2 linked regions of the Stegostoma tigrinum genome follow. The protein of the gene in region 1 purifies or fractionates together with the protein of each later gene. This does not show direct contact. Links are inferred from orthologs where the notes say so. Each region holds a gene or a part of one and is shown on either strand. Other genes may lie near its edges.

The links.
Region 2: the proteins of cops4 (region 1) and dtl purify together in Homo sapiens (affinity purification with mass spectrometry; 3 studies listed by BioGRID). This does not show direct contact. The link is inferred for Stegostoma tigrinum from reciprocal best matches to the Homo sapiens genes COPS4 and DTL.

What each region holds. Positions count from the first base shown.
Region 1 is NC_081354.1:77,491,820-77,495,740, forward strand, and holds the start of cops4 (COP9 signalosome complex subunit 4), read right to left. Parts: upstream 2,336-3,921; 5' UTR 2,285-2,335; coding exon 2,211-2,284; intron 1-2,210. UniProt on the Homo sapiens protein: Component of the COP9 signalosome complex (CSN), a complex involved in various cellular and developmental processes.
Region 2 is NC_081362.1:54,599,598-54,603,518, reverse strand, and holds the start of dtl (denticleless protein homolog), read right to left. Parts: upstream 2,239-3,921; 5' UTR 2,195-2,238; coding exon 2,146-2,194; intron 269-2,145; coding exon 146-268; intron 1-145. Other genes in the region: ints7 (integrator complex subunit 7), read left to right, coding at 2,377-2,470. UniProt on the Homo sapiens protein: Substrate-specific adapter of a DCX (DDB1-CUL4-X-box) E3 ubiquitin-protein ligase complex required for cell cycle control, DNA damage response and translesion DNA synthesis.

The sequences.
Region 1 (3,921 bases):
CCGCCGCATCTGCTCCCAGGATGAGGCATTCCACTCCCGTACATCTCAGAGATCCTTGTTTTTCAAGGGCTGCAACATCCCCCCCGCAGTGGTCGAGAACACCCTCGACTGTGCCTACCACGTTTCCGCAACTTATCCCTCACACCCCATCCCCGTAATAACATCCAAAAAAGAATCCCCCTCGTCCTCATGTACCAACCCAACCTGCGGATCCAATGCATCATCCATCAACACTTTTGCCATCTGCAATCTGACCCCACCACCGAAGGCATTTTTCCTTCCCCACCTTTGTCTGCTTTCCGCAGGGACCACTCTCTCCATGATTCCCTTATCCGCTCCACACGCCCCTCCAACCCCACCACACCTGGCACTTTTCCCTGCAACCACAGGAAGTGCTACACCTGCCCCCACACCTCCTCCCTCACCCCCATATCAGGCCCCAAGAAGACTGTGCACATCAAGCAGATGTTCACCTACACATCTGCTAATGAGGTGTACTGCATCTGCTGTACCCGTTGTGGCCTCCTCTACATTGGGGAAACCGCTTTGCAGAACACCTACGCTCAGTTCGCAATAAACAACTGCACGTCCCAGTCACGAATCATTTCAACTACCCCTTCCATTCCTCAGACGACGTATCCATCCTGGGCATCCTGCAGTGCCACAACGATGCCACCCGGAGGTTGCAGGAACAGCAACTCACATTCCAATTGGAAACCCTGCAGCCCAATGCTATCAATGTGGATTTCACAAGCTTCAAAATCTCCCCTCCCCTCCCCTCAGTGCATCCCAAAACCAGGCCAGCTCATCCCCGCCACCCTAACTTGTTCTTCCTCTCATCTATCCCCTCCTCCCACCTCAAGCCGCACCTCCATTTCCTATCCACTAACCTCATCCCGCCCCCTTGACCTGCCCATCCTCCCCAAACTGACCTACCTCTTCCCTACTTCCCCACCTATACTCGCCTCTACAGGCTCCATCTCTGTCCTTTGAACTTGTCCGTCTCCTCGCCACCCATCTTCTCCTCTATCCACCTTTGATCCACCTCCCCCTCTCCCTCTCCCCCTCTTCTGAAGAGGAGTCTAGGCCTGAAACATCAGCTTTTGAGCTCCTAAGATGCTGCTTGGCCTACCATGTTCATCCAGCTCCACACTTTGTTATCTCAGTGTTGTATTTACCATTTTTTTTGTCCAGCTGTACTTGTACCTTTCCTTAGGACCAAAAATTTTGAATGAAAACATAAAATTGCACTCTTCGTGCATAATTAAAGAGCATACCAATCACACTCACGTCAGTGTACAGAGGCTGTGACCACGTGACAAATAGTGGTCAACAACAGCACTTGTATTTTATACCGGTAAATTCAACAGCTCAGGGATAAGTCCCATAGCCACAAGTAGCCCTCGGGTACCTTGCGTGATTGGTCATTCTTGATGTAACACTGTAGGTTTGCAGGAGATTTGACGGTACAGGGTATGACACTTTAGCACTATGAATCCTCACTGGGTACCCAACTACTGCCCTCACAACAATTGTTGTCGCATCACAGACTGCAGATCGGATCTGGCATGACCACGATCGATACAGTTTGATGTCTCTGCAGCACAGGGTGGGGAGACCCTTAAATTTGGAATCCATGAACGGAGGAAATGAAAATTTCTGTGGTCGATCATTTTAGCAATAAATGTCTAATAAGTAACAATGATTATTATATAACACAGTGTGGAGCTGGAGGAACACAGCAGACCAGGCAGCATCAGAGCAGCAGGAAAGTTGACGTTTCGGGTCGGGACCCTTCCTCAGAAATGGCCGTGTTTATCTCTGATTCCAGCATAGGCAGTTCTTACCATCTCGAAATGATTCTGAAATGGACGTTTTACTAAAAGCTGATATGAATGTGACTCCCTCAATCAAACGTAAAACAGATTTTTAAACCTCACGTAGATTGTAGCAAGAGGAGAGACAATTTTACTCATCAAGGCTGAAACAAACAACCCTATGGTGCCCCGGGACAGAGCCGAGACAGTTGGACATCAGCCTGGAGAAAGCAGGGGGCGGGGAGTCTCTCTGTCATAGGAACCGCTCCTCAGGCTGGGCTCCGGCTGAGTGTCAGCCCACAGGCGGCAAAGCTCCGACAGCTGCCGGGGGTGGGGGAAGGGGAGTCCGCCCGCCGCCTCTACACGCTCGCCCAGTCTCCCCGTTTCACTCACTTGCCGGCCAGATCCTTGTGAGAGCCACTGGAGTTCATCAACACCGCCAACTCCTGCCTCATTGCCGCCGCCATGTTTCCCCCACCCCCCAACAAGGAGCTTCAACTGGCGGCAAGAGCGTCCTACACAGTCCGTCATCGGAGCAACAGCGCCACCTGCCCGCTGGGGGTCTACTATAGTCCTCCAGAAGCAGACGCAGACGCAGAGTTCAGTGCCAGAGAGCACTTGTGAAATACACGTTTGCAATTTTTGTCCTTTCCCAAATAACAAGGTGACCGTCTTCCCAGCACTATTTGTTCAATAAAACCAGGAATGATGAACTATTCAGCAGACTGGGCAACATCCATGGAGAAAGAAACAGTTACGTTTTGAGTAAGATGTCAATTCTTTGCCATTGAAATGGGGAGCAACGACAGAAGGGAAGGTTTGGGATAAGGCAGATGAGAGTGAAAAAATGACCTGAAAGAAAAGACAATTAGGACGGTAATATTGTTGGAAAAGTCACATTTTGTCAAAAATTTTTTTGTTTTGCACTCAGCAGGACAGTTCGTAAGAATGCCAATTTAAATGTTTTTAATCAACCTGTTTGGAGATGTTATTACAGAGCCCTGAAGCAGGTGGAACTGGAACCCAGGCCTTCTGACTCAGAGGTAGGGATGCTATCACTATAAAACAAGAATACCAAATTAATAGAATAAACATACATATTATATGAGTGGAGAGTGCTGATAAATCAGCATGTAGAATCTGTTTGGCTTTGTTTAAATTTTAAATCTGGCATTAGTGCTTACTCTGGACAAAACACTTTCCCTTACTAGAACCACTCCCTTTGCCTTTTGCTCCAAGGCATTTTGTTAGTCAATTTCTCCCATCTTTGGCCCTATCCCAGACATGTTTCTACATTAACCCCTCCCACATTTCAATGCCATATAACAATCACATTCTACTGCTATCAGTTATGAATAAGTATTTTTTGACTTGACAGTTAACTCTGTTCCTACAGATGCCGTCAGACCTTTTGAGTATTTGCAGCATTTTGTTTTTTATTTCAATGTTCTAACTTTTGCTGTTGTTTCACAGTGTAATGTCTATCAGAACAGAGATAGGACTTCTACAGAGATCAAATGGACTGAAGGGCTATCATCATTAGAGGGTATCTTCCAATTTTATCAAGAAAAGTTGAGTTTGAACATGATCTCTCCTATAATTTACAATGAATAATTGTTTTCAGTTGTGCCTGAACTTTCAATTTCTATCTCAGTTAAAGAGCTGCACATAAAGGGTCAAAATTGTTTGGAAACAATGGCCTTAGTATCTTTGAATTAGAAAGGAAAAATATAAGAAAGGGTTGACATTCCTGATCATTTTCTCTCAATCCTTCCTGAAACTAGAGATGTGAATTAAGATAGAATACAGACTGACTCTACTACTTCTCCACTCACTTTTGGATACCCTGACCACAGTAATTGTCTACGATCAAAGACAAAGAAGATTCATTGTCTAAATGCTGGATGATTGCTGGAACTTACATGATTTATCCGTCAGGATAGGACAGAGCAGAGTAGAAAATGCTTGAATGCAATGAATTTGCTGAATTTAGTGATAGGTTAAAATCCATTCGGTTTAAAATACTGAAATCATTTTACAATAATCTCCACTGGATAAGGAGGAGAGAATAGAATCAGTGATCTTATCTCCACATATCCCCTTT
Region 2 (3,921 bases), on another chromosome or scaffold:
ATAATCAGGCTGTAACTTCACGAATGTGGCAATCAAATTTGTAACTTCATGATTCCAAACTAATGTATGCTTTTAACTAATTAAAATTAGAGAGACACAGTAAGTGTGCAAGAAGTTCAGTCAAGCACTGGAGAGGTCAATTTACCTGTAGACCACAAGCAGCCAAATGGAGGTACTGCTGCCCCAAGGTCACCGTATGAAGTGTGTTCATCTCGCCGATTACATTGGTAATACTGCAGCAGAGTCTCTAACGAGTAGCTGTGAGACTCTAAACACAAAAAGATAAAATTTTGTTGAAACTAACAGACAAGCAACTGACAATAAAAAAAAAACTCTGCAGTGACTGCAACTTGTCTTTTGTATAAGATATTCCATGCATACAAATTTACAGCAATGTTTCATTGCTGTGCAGGCTAAGAAAAATGGCAACCAAAAGGAAATTTTAAGATAAGTAAATTCCATAAAGAGATATCCACATGAATAGGGTATAATTTTTATTTGTTTCATCATTTTAACAAAAAAGCGATCATTCATCATTCAGAATGATTTGAGACATTTAACCATGCATGCACCTAGAAGGCATAGAGCTGGACGAACACAGCAGGCCAAGCAGCAGAGGAGGAGGAAGGCTGACATTTCGGACCTAGACCCTTCTTCAGAAATATGGAAACGGGGGGAGGCAGATAGAAGATGGATAGAGAGGATAGGTGGAGAGGAGACAGACATGTCAAAGAGGCGGGGATGGAGCCAGTAAAGGTGAGTGTAGGTGGAGAGGTAGGAAGGAAATAGGTCAGTCCAGGGAGAACAGGCAGGTCAAGGGGGTGGGATGAGGCTAGCAAGTAGGAAATGGGGTTGGGGCTTGAGGTGGTGGTGGTGGTGGTGGTGGTGGTGGTGGTGGGGGGGGGGGGGGGGTAGGTGGGAGGAAAGACAGGTTAGGGAGGCAGGGACGAGCTGGGCGGTTTTGGGATGAGGTAGGGGGAGGGGAGATTTTGAAGCTTGTAAAGTCCATATTTATATGGTTGGGCTGCAGGGTTCCCAAGCGGAATATGAGTCGCTGTTCCTGCAACCTTTGGGTAGCATCGTTGTTGCACTGCAAGAGGCCCATGATGGACATGTCGTCTGAGGAATGGGAGGGAGAGTTAAAATGGTTCGCGACTGGGAGCTGCAGTTGTTTGGTGCGAACCGAGTGTAGGTGTTCTGCGAAATGGTTCCCAAGCCTCCACTTGGTTTCCCCCGATGTAGAGGAGGCCACAACGGGAACAACGGATACATGTACCACATTAGCAGATCTGCTTGATGTGAATTGCAAGGGGGGGGGGGCAGAGAGATACAGAGGGGGGGGCAGATATAAAGAGCGCGCACGCGAGGGAGCAAGACAGAGAGGGAGAAATGGAGGTATATAGAGGGGGAGGTAGAGCTATATATATATATACATATATATATATATATATAGAGATAGATATATATGAGAGAGGGAGAGACAGAGAGGGATTTTGTATCCAACTTCACTCTGCACCATTAAACTAACAAGCGCGATATAAATCGTAAATTGAAAGGCAATGTGTGGCAGGTGAGCAGTAATTATTACAATTTGATACCTCTTTTTGTAAATAAAAAAACTTTTATCAATACGAGAAATATCTAACACCCAATTTAAAAAATGTTGTTGTGCCCCGTTCAAAAAGCATTCAACCACAGCCTTAATTGAACTCCTTTTAGAATATCCAGTCAAGTAGCTCTATATTCGTGCTTTCTCGTAAGATTTAGAAGCCTACCAACATGTTAATGACAACGACAGTGATGCGTATAGTAGACGAAATAGCTGTTCTCTTCGAAAATTCGTGTAGCTGAGACCAAAACAATAAAACTTCCTGCAGGAATTTCGCATTTCAATACAATTATAGAGTCACTTGATTGATTTGCACTTCAAATAACAAAACTTAGACAAATTTCTATTTTTAAATGATTACTTACAGCTACGAAGATTGAGATTAGTTTTGGCGAAATAAAACACTGAGCACAGCATTCTGATGAATAAACCTTAAACAAGCAATACTACGTAATGTTTCACAAATACATCACAACCGTGATGTCTTTAAAGAAAGGCGCACACAATCCTTTTATAACCTTGGAGTAGTTTCTCACCTCGCGTTCTGTTACAAATTCTGCTACTGAGCACAGAATGGAACAACATCTTAAAACTCCCGGCGACTGAATTCAACACAACTCCCGCGCTCTGCAACCTCCCGCCAAATTGACGTCACACGCGCTGATTGGCCGCCATGCGGAAGTTTGTCGTCCCGCTGTTACCTCCGCTCCCGGTGCATTACTGGGAGAAGACGGTTGGTTCCCTGCGGTTAGAGTAGGTGTTTAATCATGGCGCTGGCAGCAGCTAGGCCGTTTTTGTCGGAAGGTGGTTATGGAGAGCAGGAAATGGACGCCAACTCTGCTCTGATGGAGCTGGATAAAGGTACGTATCGGGCGCAACTTGCCCGCTGGCCCTCCTCTTTTCTCGGATTTAACAAACCGGCGGAACGTTTTCCAAACTGCCTTTAAAACGTGCAGTAGAATATCTGGGACCGTCTCGGGGCAGCAGCTGCGTTTCGGTGTTTATTATTACTCTCAGTGAGACTCTCCAAACGTTTAAACTTTCTCGCTGAATTGTGGAGGTCTTTGGAACTGGCTCTAAAATCTTGCATCTGCCCATTAGATGTTGATGGATGTGAACTGATTGTTATTTTCTGAAAAGTAGCGTATTAAAATCCCGGCCTTAGTTATTAGGATTGAAACTTACTTTATTGAGTTTTAAATCAAATCTCAAATTTGTTCGAAACAAATCATAAACATTTTTCTGACCGGTTTGAATGGCTTATACAGTGTTTGAAATCCTCCAGTTATTTCCAAGGATAAATTGATAAATCTGTATTTTGTGTTTACCTTTTATTTAAGTTTGTCAAGCTCTTATCCTGGTCAAAATACCGTTGAAATTATCATTCACAGATCATAGCCGATGACCCTAATTATGTTGAAGTTTGCTGTAGATAAAAGAGAAAAAAAACAGACATTAAAGTTGTTACATGAGCACAATTTGAAGTGTTAAGTCTAAGCAACATTGACATTATGCTAACGTCTGAGCAGTCAAGCAACATATACAATAGACTTATTTTGAATGTTTCCTTTGTTGTAAGCTCATAAGTCATATCAGTCTGTCTCCCTTGCCCCCAGCCCAGAGTCACGTTTTACCTCCTTACTCCCCATCCACTTTCATTGAGGTGCTGCCTTTCTCTTTGCTTATCTAAGGAGCTGCTCTTCTTGCGTACTGCTTCATTTGACGTATCCTTTTTTCACCAAAACTCATGAGAGTTACATCAGTTATTTTGCACTGAGCTGGTTAATGGATGAATATTCTGTGTGTGAAGGATTTACTGCCACACTTGACAACTTGCTGACCCTCCTTTTCTCTGAAATTTCCACCTAACAGGAAGTAAATTTCCATCAATTGAAAATTTGTATTCAGAGGTTGCAGCAGAGTTCAGTCGCTTGAGCAAATCAGCACTATCACATAAAGCCAAGAGTGGTGGTGTGAGACGCATTGGGCCATGATGGATAACTGAGGGTGGGATTTTATGGAGTGTACTTAAGCATGAGTATTTCATTTATACAGTCTGGATGTGGATTAGAAAAGGTGGATGCTGGGAAGTTGTTTCCGTTAGGCGGGGAGACTAGGACCCGTGGGCACAGCCCTAGAATTAGAGGGGGTAAATTTAAAACGGAAATGAGGAGACATTTCTTCAGCCAGAGAGTGGTGGGCCTGTGGAATTCATTGCCATGGAGCGCAGTGGAGGCCAGGACGTTAAATGTCTTCAAGGCAGAGATTGATAAATTCATGATCTCACAAGGAATTAAGGGCTATGGGGAGAG